4 linked regions of the Sus scrofa genome follow. The protein of the gene in region 1 interacts with the protein of each later gene in a biochemical or structural test. Links are inferred from orthologs where the notes say so. Each region holds a gene or a part of one and is shown in the gene's direction. Other genes may lie near its edges.

Region 1 (5,450 bases):
ATGAGATTAAAGGCATGGATAAAACCAGATTACAAGTTATCTGTGAAACTTCTGAGGAGCCACTTCCAGAGCTACACTAACATGAAATCCTTTGAAATATATCCAATGGGAGTAGTAAATAAACTATAAATTATGATGCAATGGATTTGAATTTTCAGAAATTTCTTGTGTGAAAGGCAGTTTTTCTCACAGCACTTGATAGGGGAAATTGCCAGTTTTTTCAGGTTGCAGACTTTTAAATGCCTATCTTCAATTCAGTTCCATTTTCAGTTCATCTTATGTTGTTGCCAAATTAATCTTTTTAGAACACAAATGTTACTCCCATTCAAAAAAACTTCAATAGCTTCCCACTGTCATAGAAATAAGTCAAAAACAATTAGCCTGATAATTAGTGCCACCATTATTTATGACCTACCTTCCCTCTACACTCTGGATTACCTAGGTCAGAGATTGGTAAACTTTCTGCAACCACTAATCTTTGCATGGCCTTCAAGAATGATTTTTACATTTTTAAAGGGTTGAAAAAGAAAATCAGAGTTCCCATAGTGGCTCAGCAGAAACGAACCTGTCTAGTATCCATGAGGAAGCAGGTTCTATCCCTGGCCTCACTCAGTGGGTTAAGGATCTGGCGTTACTATGGCTGTGCTGTAGGCCGGGCAGCTGCAGCTCAGATTTCAACCTCTAGTCTGGGAACCTCCATATGCCGCGGGAGCAGCCCTAAAAAGAGGCTACCAGTGGAATTGGAGTTGTAGCTGCTGGCCTTCACCACACCACTGCAACTTGGGGTCTGAGCCTTGTCTGCAACCTACACCCCAGCTGACCGCAAAGCTGGATCCTTAACCCACTGAGCAAGGTCAAGGATCAAACTCGCATCCACATGGATCCTAATCCAGTTCGTTTCTGCTGAGCCAGGAAAGGAACTCCAGACTCAAACATCTTGATGTATTTTGTTTTCCGAAATAAGCAGTAGGCTCCTTAGAATGACAGTATTTTTTTTTTTTTTTTTTTTAAAGGGCTACGTGGGCAGTATATGGAAGCTGCCAGGCTAGGGGTCAAATCAGAGCTGTAGTTGCTGGCCTACCCACAGCCACAGCAAGGCCAGATCTGAGCCGCAATCTGCAACCTACACCACAGCTGATGGCAGCTCCCCACCCTTAACCCACTGAGGCTAAGGATCGAACCCGCATCCTCATGGATAATCCAGTTTGTTATTGCTGAGCCACAATGGAACTCCAGAATCACAGTATTTGAGAGCTGGGGTTTAACTTTCTTTAACAGGATTGGAGCCTAGGGTCCAATGTCTGTAGTTCCCAACACCTGCCTTGCATAGCATAGACACTAATTAATGCTGCATATGAAGCTTCCAAACACTCTCCAAAATGTCTTACGGCACTTTCCTTAAACCTCCTCTGTGTCCTAACAAGCAGCGTATTGATGTATTTCTCCCTTACTTCCCGGCTAAGCGATTTCTAGAGTGGACAAGTTACCATTTTGATTCTCTTGGTTAGTAACACCCATTAGCACCTAACCAGGTAACAGCTGAAAAAAGATGAGGTTTCCCCCCTCCCCTACAGGATCAGCCTGGAGACTCCAAGTGTCCTGGTCTCTCCATTCCCGCAAACTTAGACTCATTTAATAACTTTCCTCTCGCATCAAAGCAGGTGCGAATGCCGGTCAGCCAAAGACCTCGAATTTCCGCGGCCCCTGGACAGGTTCTCCACCCCTCAGAAAGACGGCGAGGAGGACCCAGGCCTGTGACTCAGGTTAGCCCTTTCCCTCAAATATCACCAGCGGAGGCTTTGCCCATCTTTTTGCCGTAGACTGTTTTCTCAGTGAGCCGATGTACTCCCTCAAGTAACCGATCCCCTATTTCACTTTTCAAGCCTCCAGACTCTGCGTCCATCCGCCTCGGCCTTCCTCCCTCGGTTAACGCGACAGTTTCTCGGGGAGATCGCCCAAGGCGCGTGGCAGGGCGGTTAGGCGACCAACGGTTTCCACCGCGAGGAGGGGGGAGCGGGCAAAGCGGCGGGAACCAGTCGAGCCGGAGGCAGCCGACGTGGGGCGGGGCCAGCCCCGGGAAGGATCGCGAAGGAGCTGGGAAGCCCCGCCCTTTCCGTAGATATCTCTAGAAAGCCGCGCAGGAGCCCGAAAACAAAGAGTGCGCACGCGCGGCGGCTGGGCCCGGGCATTTTGCTGCGTCACCAGCCGCCGCCCGGCCTCACCACCCCTCGCTCGCACGCACGCACGTTCATTCTCCGTTCTCGCGCCCCTTTTCCTACACTTTCCTTTTCTCCCCGACCGGAGGAGTCGCTCTGCCCGCGCGGTGCATTCTGGGAACCCAGGTCTAGCCCGCCGCGCCGCCGCCGTCGCTTGAGGGAAAAGCGAAAAGAGGCCGCAATCGGGGAGAGGACGCCAGAGTCGCCACCGGAGAGGAGTCGACTGCCTACCAGCTGCCGCCGGAGAGGCCCGCCCACCCGTTCGCCCGTCCCCTTGCCCCGTTCACGATGTGAGTGCGACACGCCACCCAGGGAAGGTCGCCCTGGAGGGAGGCCGAGGCCGCGCGGGGGGGTGCCGGGAAGCCATCCCTTCCCCTCCCCCGCTTTCGGCTCCCTCGGCTTTTTCCCCCTCGGTAGCATTCGTTCTTGCTTGGGGGTGGGAGGTCCAGTATCCTTGTTCCGGTTACCGTTGGCGGGTGGAGGACATTTTTCCTCCAGATGTCCGCTTCCCCCATCTCTAAACCTTCCCTTTGCTTCCCCGTGCCGGAAACCCCACTTTCCCCCTTCGGCAGTGAGGGCTGCTCCCAACTCTTCGTAACTTAGCCTTAGGCCTTAATCTCCTGTGAGCTTTTGGCCACGCGGGCGCCTCGGAGGCGTGGACCCTCGTGGGCTGCCACTCCGCTCCTAGCGACCTAGGTCTGCTTCTGCCGCTGTGTGATGCTGGGACCAGGCCCGGGGACAAGTGCACCTGCGGTGGGTCCTACCCCACAGCTGCTGGTGCTCTTCGTAAGGCACCACGCGGCCCTCCACTGCGAGCGACAGGTACTGCTAGGCAACTGGAGGGAGGGAGGCCATGCTGTCGCCGCAACTTACTTCCCTCTCGGTGTCGTGATTGCCAGAGTATGGGTGTTTCCAGGCTTCTTCTTAACTCAGTCTCGCGAAGGGAGTGGAGGTTGCCAAAACTCAGCCGTTTCCCTGGTAGCGAGGCTTTACAATTGAGCAGGGAGTTCTGCACTTGTTAGAGTTGAAAGATACTTAGGGATATTTTCTGTGAAACTTTAGGTGAGGTTTCGTTATCCTATTTTAATTTAAGGATGAAACAGGTAGGTAATTGCCTTTTTGTTGCCTTAAGTTTGTTTACGTGGGGGTAATTTCAGATCTTTTAAAAGTCTTAGTTTTATGATAAAGGAAAACATTTTAACCGAGTGCGGTCTCTTGCATTGCCATTCCCAGCTTTACATTCTTTTCAGGAAAAGCCTTACCTTTTCAGATGTGAGAACTGCCTATTTTACAGTTTTTTGGTACCACGTACTCCTGAAAGTTACCTATGGAGATCAATTGAGGGGAAGAATTTTTATTTCTATAAAAAGTAATGGATTTTCAAGGGTTTACCTAGTAAAATGGTGATATTTGTGGTGAGTATATTGAATTAGATGTCTAAATGAATAAGGATACACTGTAGCCAATTGATGGAGAAGAAGGTTTGAGAAGAATGCATGTATTACTGTAAAATGACATGTTAGAATTTTGGAAGGATTTCCCCCATCCCAAGAAGTGGTATGTAATAGAAGACTTTAATCTGTGTAAAAGAACTTGTACTTTTCTTTTTGAAATTTCTATTCCAAATAATGTAGCAGGATTGTCATTTGTGAGAAAATGAATCTGGAGATAAAGCATTACCAACTTTTAGTAAACTAATGTAGCGGAACAAGAAATATCTTTATATGAAGAGATAACATGTTTAATACGGTTTGAAGTAGAAACACTTTTCAGAGATCATGTAGAATTGGTAAATAGGTAAGAAATGTTAAGTTATATAAAGAACTCAATGAAAAGTCTAACAATCAGTATTCCAAAAAGCAATCTATAATTAGAAGAATGCTATTTTGAAAATGAGTGTTTTGAAGAGACCAGGTAAATTTTACTCTGTTTAGTCAATATATGACATCTTGCAAATTCTTTAGGGGATCTTATTAATTAATGACTGAATGAATTTACAAGATGAATATTACCAGTCAGTTACTTGAGCTGGAGAAGACTTTTATTTTTGTTGTTGTCTTTTCTAGGGCCGCACCCCAAGCATATAGAGGTTCACAGGCTAGGGGCCTAATTAGAGCTGTAGCTGCCAGCCTACATCAGGGCCACAGCAACTCGGGATCTGAGCTGCGTCTGCACCCTACACCACAGCTCACAGCAACGCTGGATCCTTAACCCACTGAGCAAGGCCAGGGATTGAACCCGCAACCTCATGGTTCCTAGTCTCGGGTTCGTTAACCACTGAGCTACAGCGGGGACTCCGGAAAAGACTTCTAATGGGTCATCCAGCTCTAGAGAGAATCTGGCTGATGAAGATTCATTTTGTTGGGTTCTATAAACTTTTTTTTTAGCTGTGGAGAGACTTTTTGCTTTTTAAGGCTGCACCTGTGGCATCTGGAGGTTACCAGGCTAGGGGTTGAATCAGTTACAGATGCTGGCCTACGCCACAGCCATAGCAAATGCCAGGCCTGAGCCTGGTCTGCTGCCTACACCACACAGCTCATGGCAATGCCATGTCCTTAACCCACTGAGTGAGGCCAGGGATCGAATCTGCAACCTCATGGTTCCTAGTCGGATTCGTTTCTCCTGGGCAAGGCTGGGAACTCCTGGAGAGACTTTTATGCTGGACATCTTGAAGGTTTTAGAGTGTATTTTTTTATCATGTGATTGCTCTTCAGTCATGATTTTCTAGGTAGATTTCTTTTAATCAAGTTTTTAAGTTTTGTCCAATAGTTTGCATAAAAGCTCTCTCAACTGGAGAAGGCTGGGATTTTAGGACTGCTCCTTTTAAGACCAGCTCAAATCCCCTGCAGGGGGTGCTACTTTATCTCCTTTCTTTTTTTTTTTTTTTTTAGTTATTTTAACTCTAATTTTAGGTTGGACCTATTTATCTAATAACACGAGATGTAAGATAAAATGGTTATGAGCTATTTGAGGTCATTCTTTTTGGTATCTTGTACTTAAAGTAACGAATGGTCAGAGACAAACAGCATCGCTGGCATTGGTTAAAATCTTACTTTGCTTTACTAAGTGAAGTAAGTCAGAAAGAGAAAGTCAAATACCATATAATATCACTTATATCTGGAATCTAATATATAGCATAAACGAACCTGTCCACAGAAAAGAAAATCATGGACAGGGAGAACAAACTTGTGGTTGCCAAGGGGGAGGGATTGGGATAGACTGGGAATTTGGGGT
Region 2 (5,170 bases), on another chromosome or scaffold:
GCACGCAGATCTCCACCTCAGGCTTTGCCCCCTAGGAAACCCAGCCTCCAGCTAAGTCTAGCAAAGACTCAGCCCGGGAAGGGTGACATCAGAATCACGGTGGGTGGCTCACAGCCATGGAGATTTTCCGGGTTCCTACTGCGGTTGAAAACTGGTGCCCTAGGGCTCAGAACCCCCCCCCCCCGCACCAGAGGAAAGAGAAAGCAGAGCCCGCGAGCTGGCAGGCACTCTCCCGGCCACCCGCCCGGAGAGCGAGGACGAGCACACCAGAACACTGCTCGCTCACCCACCTGCTGCCCCGTGGCCTTCTCCATCCTGCTGTGCTGCTCCTCGCCGCTGGCCCCGTCCTCCTCCTCACTGCTGTCACTGCCAGAATCTTCCAGGCCTGAGAACACACTCTCCTCGCTGTCAGACAGGCTGGGAGCCGGGGCGCCGGGGAGAGAGGGCTGCAAGGAGCACACTGTCGGTGACCAGCTCTGTGTGGCGCAGGACCAGAGCTGCTTCTGAGCAGACTTCTGCCCACCAGACACCACCCCGGCCCTAACTCCACCAGACAGGGTGCACGGTGGAACAAGAACCTGCAGACTCTTAGCAAGCATTCATTGGAAGGCAAAATTCTAGATTTCATTGTTTTTCAATAGTTCCTGAGTCTCTCGCCAAACTGGACAGCCTGCACGGAGCAGCTACCAAACAGCACTCAGCACACACTCTATCGTGCCTAACTAGCTACACAATTACAACGGCAAGTAAAAATGGCACAAATGTTTTGGGCACAAACACAAACAGCCGCTGATGAATACAGAGGCAAAAGCACTACAAGTGGGTGAGCATGGTGCCCAGAGCTGCCTGCCGGCCAGGGAGCACCACGAGCACTTGTCACAAGTGAAGGGGCAGCCTGATAAACCAGCAACGTGGAGTCCCAGCTGCGAGGCTCGACTGCACAAGCCTGCTATGGCTTTCTACCACCGAGATTTGATGAGATTTGATGACACCCCCACAGCGCGGCTGGGGTTCCGCTGGACAGGAAGAGCATGAGTCCAGCTAAAACGGGCCGTCCAGTGCAGCAGGCGCTGCTTTCTCATCCTCGTTTCCTCTTCTACAACGTCTAACGTGTCAGGAACATTTGGCTATACAAGCAGCTACTGCAGGCTCAAATCTTCTGCGCCCAGATGACAATTCAAAGGCCCAGGAAGACCGCTGCGCAGGACGCCGGCTCTCCTTCCTTATTCTCTCCGGCCCAGACCTTCTTCCGACCCACACAACCGCCAGCCAGCTCCCTGCCCAGGACGCCCCCGCAAGGCCGCCGGGGCGGAGGACAGGAGACCCCTCCCTCCTCGCATTCCCAGGCCCGCCGGGCGCTGGGCGGGATCGCTCCCCGGCCGGTGCCGCGGCCCAGCCCCGCCGCCCCCCCCCGCTCCCGCTCCCGCTCCCGCGTCACCTCCTCCGGCTCCCGCCCCGGCTCCAGCATCCGCTTCCCGGGCCGCGTCCCGGCCACCGCCACGCGCCGCGCGCCCTGAGGTCCCGCCATGCCGCCCGCCGGTCTGCCCTGCGCCGCCACTTCCGGCAGCGACGCGACCGCGTGGGCCTGGGGGCGGGCCCGCGGGGTCAGAGGGCGCCGGGCGGGACGGGGGCCGGTGTGCGTGCGCGCGCCGTGGGACGCGGGCGGCGCCGGCGGGAGCGCGCCCGTCGCAAGATGGCGGCGGCCATGCCAGGCCCCGGGGCCGTGTGTGCGCAGCGGGCGGCGGCGCGCGGCCCGGGCGGCAGGCGCGGCAGCGGCGCTAGCCCGGCCCTCAGCCCCTCCTCGCGGTCCCGCCTCCGCCTCTCCCACCTTGCCCGGTATGGATCTGCCCGTGGGCCCGGGCGCGGCGGGGCCCAGCAACGTCCCGGCCTTCCTGACCAAGCTCTGGACTCTCGTGAGCGACCCGGACACGGACGCGCTTATCTGCTGGAGCCCGGTGAGGGGCCGAGGGCGCCGGCCCGGGGCGGGGAGGCCGCGGCGCGGGGGCCCAGGACGGGCAGGCCCGGACCCCGCCTCGCAGGCCCGGTGTGGGGGTGGGGAGCAGGGGGTAGTGCGGGGAGAAGCGTCGCAGGCCCGCTGGAGGTCGCTCCTGTCCACGCCGCTCTCCCGCGTTGGGTAGGAAGGGCTTCTGCCTCCGTGGGCTTGCGCTTGCTGCCTGTGGGACGACTGCGGGACGCGTCTGTGCTTAGAACAGCCCCCGGCTTCGCTAGTGGACGCTGGGCCCCGGTGGCCCCAGAGTTCCAGTGGTGTGGTGGGCAGTTATTCAGGGTAAATCAAGTCTCGGCCCTGGAACTGGAGGGCGTTTCTCTAGTTCGAAAGGAGAGGGAGCGAAAACAGAAAGCACAACGTCATAAAGTTCAGGCTGGTCTCGAGCCCGGGTCCAGATCCCAGAGCTGCTTTCCCAAGAGCGACTCGTGTTTCTTGCTCTGTGCGCGACTTTATTCACGCCCTGTCTCCCGTTGCCTGGCAGCGGGCAGGTGATTTACATGGTCTGACTCCGCAGGCTGGACAACTCCAGTTTGCGGAGGTTGGACTTGGAGATGGACGTCCTGGCTGTGACGTCGAGGTGGGGCAGGTCGGAGCCACGGCTCGCGGCTGGCAGGGGGGTGGCCTAGGCCACCGTAGTCGTAGGCAGGCTCCGGGCGCCTCCAAACGTGCTTACTCTCCTGAGCGCCCAAACGCTGGATTTCTTGGACCCCACTGAGTTGTTGCCTGTCATCCTGCTGAGCCCTTGGAAAGGAAGAGCAGTCTGGGCTGAAAGGAGCCCAGAGCTGGAGGCCACGTTCTCTCGTTCCACTTGTCCCTTTGAGGAGACCAGAAACCGTGCTGCATTCCCTTGGGGACACTGTGTGTTGTCCCAGCAAATATCCATGTGGCGTTCTCCATCCCAGGCCCTGTTTCTTTAACGGTGGGAACCACCCCTTGTTCCAGGCCTTGAACTTTGCCGGCCAAATGAAATGACCCCATTTTTCTGTCTTTTTCCCTTCTCCCTCTTCTTGTCCCTTCCCCGTAACTCCCGTTTGGGGGAGGGCACCAGAGGTCCTTTGGGATGAACCTACTGTGGGGACATCCCGCCTCTCAGTCTGCTCCAGGCCAGGCGAAGCACAGCCAGCGTCAGCTTGCTCCCCAGGCCTCACGGCCTGTATTCCAGGCAAAGCCTGGAGCAGGAAAGCGGACATGGTCCAGCCCGTGATGGTCTCTACTCAAGGTGGCTGCGCCCCCAGGCATGGTCTCCCTGGGGACAAGCGGCCATGGAGCAAGAGCTTTTGATCCTCCTTAGTCTGTACACAGAGCGAGTAGGGTGTGCTTGGTGCAGGACGCAGTGGGGCTGGCCCTGAGAAAGGAGACCAGCCCCTGCCTGGGGCCGGCAGGGTGCCCACAGGACCCCCGGGCCTCTGTCTCAAAGTCCGCTTGGAGCCCTTTGCCGACTCGCAGCCTGGAGTCCTGCTGTCGGAGGCCCCGGACAGGTCTGACGCCTGTGCCCTTGGCCCTTCCCCTTTGTGCTGGAACTTTGCTCATTGTTCCACCAGGAGAAAACCTCTGCCTGTGGCCCAGGGAATGAGGGGGAGGAGGAGGTGCAGTGGTCGACTCTGTGGTCTGCGTGATGCATGACCACGGGCGGGTGCCAGCCCTGGGAGCTGGGGCCGGCCAGCGGGTCGCTGCTCCAGAGGCACGTGTTGGTTTGCCCGCCCTTCCAAAGCCTTGTCCCGTCAGATGCGCCCCGTGCGGCGCCACGGCTGAATAGGCAAGGGCTCCCGCGGGAGGGGACTTGGTGACCGGGAGTGTGGCCTTGGGAGTGCTACCACCACGCCCCCTGGGACATAATGGGAGTCAGACCCTTCTGGCCAAGACTGAGGGCCTCTTTCTCCCAGGAACCGGACCTTGCCAAGGCCACCAGCCCAGGTGGCCCAAGTGAGTGCCACACTCAGGGATCGCTTGAGAGGGGCTAGTGTCCAGGTGGAGCACGGTCTCCGTGGTCAGGTCCCCAGCTCCCTGTGAAACCCCTGGCCACTCCAAGCTGGCAAAGGACCATTTCCAGAGACCCCAGGACAGGCAGGGCCGCCCTCTCCCCTGCCCGGAGCCAGGCGGGCCCCACCAGCCTGCTGAGCTGGTCCTCCGTGCAGGAGCCCGCAGTTGCCCCCGTGCTGGCTTCGAGGGCCACTGCAGAGCCTGGAGGTTCCCGGGGTCCCTGCACCTGATGAGCGTGCGTGGCCGCCGAGCAGGCCTCTGCCTGCCGCAGCCAAACCTTTTCCACACGGAGCCTGTCGCGCCTCCCATTGCCCTGCACGAAGGTGAAGGTGGCCTTTTTACAGACGCGAAACCTGAGCCTCGGAGGTGACAGGAAACGCGAGGAAGACCCTGAAGTGCACAGGCCCTTTGCCCGCCTGCCCCACCGACCGCGCTCTGACCGCGCCGAGTGTCGAGTCTCCAGTCGGGCGTGGGGTCCAGCTCGGGCTCCACCCCCCCACCCCGCGGTCTTAGCCGGGCCCGGCCGCACGTGGCTGACCAGCGCCCGGGGGTTTGTAGAGTTGTATTTTGGATTTTTACACGAGAGTCCGCCTTTCACCTCCCGCACAGACAGACAGATGTATGCGTGGACGGACAGACAGACAGACGGACGAGACGGGCAGAGATCCATGAAGGACAGGCTCTGTGCGTGGCCTCCCAGTCTGTTTCCTCCGCCGCCTGGGTGCTGGGGTGCGAGGGGCGCCGTCAGAGGGGCTGGCGGTCTGGGCACGGCCGCCTTGGAGGGAGGGTGGATGCACACAGCTCGCCTGGCTCCGCCGGACCCACGGGTGCTCAGAGGGCTTTGGTACCGCACCGGGGTTGGCGGGGAGGTGGCCAGGGCCCACGGGATCCTCTCGGAGTAAACAGTCAGCTCCCGTCAGGTGTCACGGACGCCCCAGAACCTGCACCCTTGGCTGCAAGATTTCTTTGAGGTTTGAGGTCTGAAGGGAGGCGGGGAGGCCGGCCCTCCGAGGGTCTCCTGAGCCTGGAAGCGCTGGCGGCTGCCCCATCTCGTCCCTCTGGGCCCCGACAGCTCCTGAGTCCGCAGTCAGCAGGGTGCGCACATGCAGAGGGGCCTCGAGACCCAGGGGTGGGCCGGCGGCCAGAGATGAGCAGGGATGGACGGTCTCGGGGCCTGGGCCG
Region 3 (3,351 bases), on another chromosome or scaffold:
CCAAGACGCGCTCCTTTCGACTTATTTGAAAACAGAAAGAAGAAGAACAACATCAAGCTGTATGTTCGCAGAGTGTTCATCATGGACAACTGCGAGGAGCTCATCCCTGAGTATCTGAGTAAGTAGAGTTGAGCCTAAGAAACGACGGCTGTCAAATTCATCCTGTCAACCCCGTGCCACGCGCGCAAGTTCCTGGGCCAGGGGTCACACCCACGCCACAGCAGAGACCCGAGCTACTTCAGTGCGTTGCCAGATCGTTAACCCACTGTGCCACCAGAGACGGAATTCCAGACTTGGAAATGCATGGGGAAAACTGCGTTCTCTTTGGGTTTAGCTGTTTGTTGATTTTTGTCGGAGTGATTTTGAGTGCATTTGGCATGCTTTTCCAGATTTCATTAGAGGCGTGGTGGACTCTGAGGATCTTCCTCTGAACATTTCTCGTGAGATGTTGCAACAAAGCAAAATTTTGAAAGTCATCAGGAAGAATCTGGTCAAGAAATGCTTGGAGCTCTTTACTGAATTGGCCGAAGATAAAGAGAATTACAAGAAGTTCTATGAGCAGTTCTCTAAAAATATTAAGGTAGGTAATCGTGTGACAACAGCTGTAACCAAACTACTTCTCCTTTTCAATGAATTTGTTTTTAAGGCCAAGTTTTGTTGAAGCTACCATTGTTTGTTTCAGCTTGGAATACATGAAGATTCTCAAAATCGGAAGAAGCTTTCCGAGCTGTTGAGGTACTACACTTCTGCTTCTGGCGACGAGATGGTTTCCCTCAAGGACTATTGCACCAGAATGAAGGAGAACCAGAAACACATCTATTACATCACAGGTAAGGCGAGATGGGTGTAATCGTCATGCCTCTTGCTCTGGGATTCCATAGGAACAGCTGGGAGTTCTCTACCCACATGGTGCTGCGTGTGAGTTAGGTGTTGATTTAGGCAGTGAGAGCTAATCTTCATCTGTAGAAAGAAAGATCTGATTATGTAGGGAAAGACAGGAGATGCAGCCACCTCCTGTGAACAGTCTTAAACTTTCGAACATCTCAGGTGAGACCAAGGACCAGGTGGCCAACTCGGCCTTCGTGGAACGTCTGCGGAAGCACGGCCTGGAGGTGATCTACATGATCGAGCCCATCGATGAGTACTGTGTGCAGCAGCTGAAGGAGTTTGAGGGGAAGACCTTAGTGTCAGTCACCAAAGAGGGCCTGGAGCTCCCGGAAGATGAAGAGGAGAAGAAGAAACAGGAGGAGAAGAAGACAAAGTTTGAAAACCTCTGCAAGATCATGAAGGACATCTTGGAGAAGAAAGTCGAAAAGGTGTGTGACCATACGTTTCCCACTTAGATCTCCTAGTTGTGGGCCTTCCTCAGGAGGGGTTAGTTGTCTGTTCAGGAGGTCACAAGTAGCTTTTAAAGATCTGAAAAGTGCAGAAGCTCTAGGAAGAAAGCTGTGAGCATCTGTGTTTAATTTTGATTCAACTGTTAATTCAATAGTAGTTGAGTTAAAATTTTTCCTGTTAAAGCTGATGACAGGTTCTGAGGAGTTAGGTAAGCTTTTTCGAGGCCCAGTTACCACTTAATGTCTCGTTCACAGGTGGTTGTGTCGAACCGGTTGGTGACCTCACCGTGCTGCATTGTCACAAGCACATACGGCTGGACAGCAAACATGGAGAGAATCATGAAGGCTCAAGCCCTGAGAGACAACTCGACAATGGGTTACATGGCAGCAAAGAAGCACCTGGAGATAAATCCAGACCATTCCATCATCGAGACCCTGAGGCAAAAGGCAGAGGCGGACAAGAACGACAAGTCCGTGAAGGATCTGGTCATCCTGCTGTACGAAACCGCTCTGCTGTCTTCTGGCTTCAGCCTGGAAGATCCCCAGACGCACGCCAACAGGATCTACAGGATGATCAAACTTGGTCTTGGTAAGCCGCCCGCCGTTCTGCAGGTGCCGTGCGCAACACCGTCAGGGAAGGAACCCGGCGACTGGAAAGGGGGGGCTGCCAGCAATTTGAGTGAAATTGGGCTATTCCAGTTCATTTGGGGGAGGAAGCGCTGAAGTCCTCAGAGTTTAAGGGGGTAGATAGATGGGTTTTTCATTTCTAAGGAATAAAAAACAGGTTCATAGATGCTGTGACGGCTCAGCCACAAACCTGCAGTATTAGGCTGATGAGCTGGCCTCAAGAGATCTAAAACACGGGTTTTATCTCCAAAAAGGTATTGATGAGGACGACCCCACCGCCGACGACAGCAGCGCTGCTGTGACGGAGGAGATGCCACCCCTGGAAGGGGACGACGACACGTCCCGCATGGAGGAAGTCGATTAGGCTCCGCCTGAGGCTTGCTTGTCCCCTGTTAAAACGCTGTCTGCATTCCCTCTGACGATATATTTTCAAGTATTTTATTTTTGTTAACATTTAAAGGTTGTATGGCATGACAGTTCCTTAAGGGAAAATAAGATTCCTTTGTACTAAGTGTGACACTGTGACATTTGAGCACTAAAGCCGAGCTTGTCCTTTCCTAGTTCCAGTTGGCTTCTTTAACAGACGGCCCTCGTGCTGTGAGGTGTGTGTACCCTGATGTTAACTTCTTGGTCTGTGTTCAGCTCTCAAGCGGATTCCTTAGTTGACCACCTTTTGTCACTGAAGTGTTGTGGAGTATATCTTGATGTTTAGGAGAAAAATACTTGTTCAAGCAACGAGTAGATTTGGGCTCTACCTTTGAAACCTCCCATCCCCTGTAGCTGTTGACTGCATGTATCAGTCCTCTAGGAGTTAGGATGAACCCCGTTGATGGGAGTAGCTATCCTTAGGGCTTGTTTCCAAAGAAATGTAATGTTTAGGGACCCGAAGTCAAAAGCCCACCTAGGCATGTGGTAAAGCTGTTTGAGAAGTAACTCTGCAAGCGTCGTGAGTGGAGATGTAGCGCCGAAGTCGCATTCTGCTTCCGGAGTTGAAACAAATACAGATGAATTAAACAGACACGGTGTGAACATGTCTTGTCGGGGGGCCAGGCGGGTGGAAGATCCAGGGTGGTCCCGCGATATCAGACCTGGGGCGGCACACGCCCTGCCTGCGTGGGGGAGGCTGGGCAGAAGATGGTTCACGCTGGCCGCCCTCGGTCTCAGCGGTGTGACTCCCGGGGCACATACAGGTGGCAGGGGGTGGGCCCGAATCCGGGAGAGAAGGGGGACTCCAGCAAGGTGGCCTTCCCATGTGTTTTCTAAGCCCCGCTCTCCCTTGGGAGTCTCCCGTCTGCACTGTCTGGAGGTGTTTGTAGAGACAGCTGATGCTCTAAACACAGCTCTCACTGCCCTGGCCGTTGGAGCAGCCGAAAGCCCTTTACGAGGC
Region 4 (5,423 bases), on another chromosome or scaffold:
GGTTGGACCTGTGAGTCCTAAGAGGGGCATTTCTGTTATTCAAGAGATTATTCTTCAGTGGAGTTCTTTAGAAAGTCACAGCCTGGCCTGAGCTGTCCTGTGAACAGCTGGAGAAGCAATCACTGGTGGCACCCCTTGGGGATGAGGTGCCCAACAGAGTGAGGGTGAGATTAGGGAGCTCAGCAGGGTTAGCAGGAACAGCCTGTGACCAGCAGAGAAGGCTGGAGGCAAGGACCAGAGGGACCAGCCCAGGAGCATCCCTGAATCCAGCCCTTGGAAATCATCTGAACAATGGAGATGGGGATTTTTCTGGAGTGAAGAGGAAGACACAAGCTCTAAAGTTTGGAAAGGAGGCATAAAACAATGACATGGACCGAGGCTGGAGAAACACAGGAAATACAATTAGAATAGAATATCATTTGGATCTAAAGGGTTAGTACAATTATTATAGAGGGAAAAGTTCAAAATTGTTTCTTCCCTTTCATGTATCTATGATTTTAGTTGTTGGTACTGTGATAATTCAGCCTCGGAGCAATAAGAGAACTACACTACAGAACTGAAAAAAGAAAGTTTTCTTTATGACGCAGCATGATAATGTGAGAAAAAAGAATGTATACATGTATGTGTGACTGGGTCACCTTGCTGTACAGTAGAAAATTGACAGAACACTGTAAACCAGCTATAATGGAAAAAAATAAAAATCATTAAAGTAAAAAATAAAAAAAGAAAGTTTTCCTTAAAATCATCTTCCTATCTGAGCCAGCAACGAATTCCTGTGTGTGACACATGTAAACAAAATTGCTTCATATAATCTATGGTAGACCTTTCTTGTGGATGGAAAATACATTATTTTTCTAGGCAACCTGATCCTGGTTCTGCCACTAGCATGCCTGTAGTGTGGACAACCTCTCTGAGCCTCAGATTCTGTATCTATAATACCAGCAGAGGGATTAGTTGTGAAGGTGGCTCCCATATCTAACACCGTGTTTCATCTTATTTCACGAATAACCTGCAAAACTTGAATTCATAAATGCGATAAATCATAGGGTAACCTATTTGCCCTACTAATAGGCTTTTTATTCCATTTCTCAAATGATTCACCACTGAATTCCTTCAAAAAGAAAATTAACTCTGTGTCTACCATGACTTGGCTCGCCTTGACATTTCAGAAACATGGCTGTTAAAGAAAAGAGTAGCGCAGCCTGTCTTAGTCTGTTCTGGCTGCTATAACAAAAGACAGAAACTGAATAGCTTATAAACACCAGAAACGTATTCTTCACAGTTCTGGAGGCCAGAAGGCTAAGATCAGGGTGCCAGCATGGTTGGGTTCTAGTCAGAGCCCACGTTGGGGTAGCCGACTGCAATTTCTATGTCCTCACATGATAGAAAAGGCCAGGATGCTCAGCCTGGCCTCTTTTATCAAGGCACTAATCCCACTCACCAGGGCTCCACCTTCCTGATTTAAGCACCTCCCAAAGGCCCCCACCTCCTAATGCCATCATTTTGGAGATTTAGTTTCAACATAGGAATTTGGCAGGGAGGTAGGTGGCCCAAACAACCTATAGCACATCCATAGTGGAAATAGTGTAACTGCCTGTTTGAAATATTCAGGAATTCAGGATTCTGGCAGAAGGTAATAAATTATAATCACTCCCTTACACTTGCCTGCGGCCAGTCTTCCTTAAATCAAGGAAGCGTCCTTACCTGGTAAGATATTATGGACGATATTGAAGTCTCAGGCCCAGGGGACAGCAAACAAAAAGACGAGATGCGTTCTTGCCTAATGATGCACGACGAAGAAGGTTCGTTCCTTTCACTGAAGGCGTTGATAGTTCTTTCAAAGCAAACATCTCTGGTATGAATAAAACTGTCAGGTCTCCTTAGCTATTTACACTTCAGTGTAACTGCATGCATAAGCTGCTCCCCCGAGGAATCTTGGAGAGCAAGGCCTTGGAGGCCTCAGCTGGAGGTCCCAGGTTGAATAAAGACAAAAGTGGGAGCATGCATGGGTGTTGGGGGACCTGGGGATGCAAGGCTGGGGGTTAGGTGGCACGAGTGAAAGTACCATATTAGACTCTCTCCCGTTTTAGACTAACTCATGGCCAAGTACCCAGTGGCTGACACATGAGGGCGCTCAATAAATAGTCCATGAATGATTCTGGCGCTACGTCCCGGCCAGCAGGCTCTGTTAAGAGGTGTGGACGTGCTCTGCAGAAAACTGTTAGTTCCTGCCGCCCACGCGTGAGGAAGGCGCGTCAGCGAATGGAAGCAAGTTCTGAGCGGCAGGAGACCACGGCGGCTCCCTCGGCTGGCCCTAGGGAGACGGTAACTCAGGAAGATGCGGGCACCCAGTCCCCCGCATAGACGATCAGGGTCAGGATTTGGCTGAGGAGGAGCCGTTGGGCCTTTGGAACAGGTCCCAGGGCCGGTGCGGAGGCCGAAGTCGCGGTGTAGACCGGAGGCAGCGGGAGGGCAGGAAGGTGGACTCTGACCAGCGCCCCATTATCAAGCGCCGCGAAGTCGGCAGGGCGCACTCTTCAGTCCGCCCGACTGGGACGCTGCGTGCGCCGGGTCTGCGGAGCGCGCCCTTCAGGTCACTTGGAGCGCAGTGGACGCTGCAGAACTTTCTCCTGGAGATTGCGCGCGCAGCTCCGGGACCCCTGTGGATCTCTGCAAACTTTGCCCAGGACGCGTCCGGTGCGCGCGACCAGCTTTGCCTGCCGAGGGCGCCCTCCGCGACGACGCGCGCGACCGTGAGAGCGCGCCCTCCCCGACGGGGCGCGGCGGCGCGGTGGTCCCGCGCGCGGCCGACTCTGAGAAGCGCGGGGTCCCGAGTCGGAGGCGGGGCCCGCAGCCCCGCCCGCCGGGTCGGCGTCCTGCCCGGGGCGACTCCTCCCCTGGCCGCGTTGCGGCTTTACTTTCGCTTTCGTTGGAGCGGCCGCAGACCCTCGGGGCGGAGGGACTGAGACAGCACCAGTTCTGGACGCCGTGGGAACGGTAACTTCGGCCGCCGCGCTTCCGCCCTGCCCTCCTTTCGCCCGCGTTCTCCCTGGCCGTCCGGCTGCCCTCGCTCCTGCCACCCCGAGCGCCGTCGGTGGGATTCGATCCCCAGGGACTGGGCGGCCCCGACGGCTCCACTGAACTTGAGGGAGAGAGCTCTGCCCGCCCCCAACATCACTTGCTTGCTCAGCTTGTCCCTCCCTTCCCTCCTAGTCGCCGGGCTTGGGTCACCGGTGCTCTTCGGGATTTGGCAGAGAAGGGGGGATGGATTTGGAAGGGTGGGAAGGGCCTGGGCTGGCTAACAGTGAGAGCTCCCTTGTGGGGCAGCCGTGGGTTCAGTCCCCCCCTCCCCCCCACTCTGTTTCTCTGCTGTGAGGCCTTGGCCCTCTCTGTGCCCGTCTGTGTAATGGGGATAGTGGTGGGCCCGGGGTGGCGGCTGCTGCGAGGATGGAGTGAGGGGGTTGGGGCGCAGAGCAGTGCTGTCAGGGTGTGTAAGCTCCTGTCATCCCCTCATCACTGTGCCTGGTGCAGGGCGCTGGAAGATTCTTTGAGGAAGTGGAAGAAGGCAGGACTCTCAGGCTGCAGCTCTTCGCCGTTGTATTCACCTTTGGCTTTTGTGGGGCAGTAAAATTATTTGTGGGTGAGTCTAGTGAGTCATTCCCAAGCTTTCTCCCTTGAACTCCTGGGCTGGCTAAGGGCATGGCCCTAAGGTTTGTTTGCTTACAGACTGTTTCCTCCTTCAGGGTCCACAGCCAGACTTTCATCTAGGATAGCCAGCCACTGTCTAGGTTCATAATTCACTTCTGTCTTCTATTAGCTGTGTGGTTTAGGGCAGGTTACTTAATCCCTCTGAGGAAACCAAAGTTTCTTCAATACAGGATCAAGGCTCCAGCTTCCTAGCAGTCGTGTATCAGTTGTCAGTGGAGTACTTCAGTGCCCAGCAGAGCCCTCTCCTTCCCCAGATGCTGGAGGTGAGAGGTGGAGGTCCTGTGGGCTTCTTCTCTTGGAGCCTTTTAGGGTGATTGTCTTCACTGGGACACAAGTGAGGTACCAGTCGTGTTGTGTCATTTTCCAGGGGAAGCAGCTGCAAAGAAATTCAGACAATGGCTGGGAGGTGACCTGTACCAGTCACCTATGAAGCTGTGTGTGGAAATAATTGCTAGAGGAGTGTTCTGTTTCAGTTTCCACAAAAGGTGCTTAAAACATGAATGTGATTTCAAGGTACTGGTGAGGGTTGACAGTTGGCTGTTGCCTTAGTCTTGAGTTCTGCGGAGAGCGGTGATAACAGGGAATATTTATTGAAGGTTTAGACACCATGTTTAGCATTTTACATGCATCGTTTTGTTCATCCTCAGAGTCACATGTGACTTAGGCATCACCGTTTTCCCATTTTACAGATGAGGAGACTGAGGCTTAGAGAGATTGAGTAGTTTGTTCAATGTCTGTGGCTAATAGATGGAGGCACTGATCGAACCTTAGATCTTTGGTTCATCATGACTGGGCTCTCAAGCATCCTCAAGCATCCTCCTGGATCTCTTTGGTTCTGTTGTCTGTCCCATATCAACAATTTATTCAGGGCTGTGAAAGATTTAAAGTTTTTAAGTATATTTCAGTTTTCACATTGATAAAGAAATTTTCGTTGAGTGCCTACTGTGCACCTGGCACTTTTCTTTGACTGGAACTAAAAAAAAAGGATGTTTAGGAGAAGCTCTCAGCCTACAAAAAGACCCTAGTGGATAATAGTGAAAGTATCCATAATCACTGAGTGCTTACGGAGAGTGCCTGTAACAGCGCCAGCACTGCTAATGCTTTAAGTGTTTTATATGTCAATTTATTTAAAGAGAATATAGATGTGTTTAACAATTGAATAAGCAATTATCTGTTGAATAACTGCCTGCTCCTTGCAGTCTGAGTCTTACGAAGGGAACAGATAAAAGCAAATAATGCCAGGCAGGCCTTCTCCAGGCACAGCTGACCGAGATAGGCCTGGATTGTCTTGGGCTGTGGAGATGAGTGGAAATAAAAGGGCATCACAAAGTCTTGGCTTGACTGAAACGATGTGACCAAGATGAGGCACCCCACTCAGTCACCACTCTCATTCTGGGTGAACTCGATTTCACCCAGAAATGAAGCCCAGCCTCGTAGGAATAAGAAAGGCACTGCATGATTAGCCTTAGAGATTTAAGAGTAAAGTCCCACACTGTCATGCTGGGGACACACACCGTGGCAACTTCTTAGAAGGGACTCTAGCTGCAGCCTCCTCCCCAGCAGACAGTGTTCAGCATCAGCCCAGAAAGACAGGTTTCAGATAGAAAACCCATCTGATCTGGTGTCTGCAGAACCTCCTATCCCTGAGCTGTAGAAGAAATCAGCCTGTAGCTAAGGCCCAAGCCCCCTCTGAGTGGCTGGAAAGGATGAGGGGT

What was found.
Region 2: the proteins of PTGES3 (region 1) and HSF1 form a complex in vitro, tested with the Homo sapiens proteins (2 studies listed by BioGRID). The link is inferred for Sus scrofa from reciprocal best matches to the Homo sapiens genes PTGES3 and HSF1.
Region 3: the proteins of PTGES3 (region 1) and HSP90AA1 form a complex in vitro, tested with the Homo sapiens proteins (10 studies listed by BioGRID). The link is inferred for Sus scrofa from reciprocal best matches to the Homo sapiens genes PTGES3 and HSP90AA1.
Region 4: of the proteins of PTGES3 (region 1) and CASP7, one has a biochemical effect on the other in vitro, tested with the Homo sapiens proteins (2 studies listed by BioGRID and IntAct). The link is inferred for Sus scrofa from reciprocal best matches to the Homo sapiens genes PTGES3 and CASP7.

The regions. Positions count from the first base shown.
Region 1 is NC_010447.5:22,018,397-22,023,846, reverse strand, and holds the start of PTGES3 (prostaglandin E synthase 3), read left to right. Parts: upstream 1-2,147; 5' UTR 2,148-2,504; coding exon 2,505-2,506; exon of another isoform or gene 2,507-3,038; intron 3,039-5,450. UniProt on the Homo sapiens protein: Cytosolic prostaglandin synthase that catalyzes the oxidoreduction of prostaglandin endoperoxide H2 (PGH2) to prostaglandin E2 (PGE2).
Region 2 is NC_010446.5:482,971-488,140, reverse strand, and holds the start of HSF1 (heat shock factor protein 1), read left to right. Parts: upstream 1-1,675; 5' UTR 1,676-1,693; coding exon of another isoform or gene 1,694-1,838; coding exon 1,839-1,955; intron 1,956-5,170. Other genes in the region: ribosome biogenesis protein BOP1, read right to left, coding at 291-446, 1,439-1,528. UniProt on the Homo sapiens protein: Functions as a stress-inducible and DNA-binding transcription factor that plays a central role in the transcriptional activation of the heat shock response (HSR), leading to the expression of a large class of molecular chaperones, heat shock proteins (HSPs), that protect cells from cellular insult damage.
Region 3 is NW_018084979.1:916,705-920,055, reverse strand, and holds the end of HSP90AA1 (heat shock protein HSP 90-alpha), read left to right. Parts: coding exon 1-118; intron 119-389; coding exon 390-580; intron 581-682; coding exon 683-830; intron 831-1,047; coding exon 1,048-1,316; intron 1,317-1,592; coding exon 1,593-1,926; intron 1,927-2,218; coding exon 2,219-2,328; 3' UTR 2,329-2,556; downstream 2,557-3,351. UniProt on the Homo sapiens protein: Molecular chaperone that promotes the maturation, structural maintenance and proper regulation of specific target proteins involved for instance in cell cycle control and signal transduction.
Region 4 is NC_010456.5:124,015,626-124,021,048, forward strand, and holds the start of CASP7 (caspase-7), read left to right. Parts: upstream 1-2,244; 5' UTR 2,245-2,262; coding exon of another isoform or gene 2,263-2,268; exon of another isoform or gene 2,269-3,640; intron 3,641-5,423. UniProt on the Homo sapiens protein: Thiol protease involved in different programmed cell death processes, such as apoptosis, pyroptosis or granzyme-mediated programmed cell death, by proteolytically cleaving target proteins.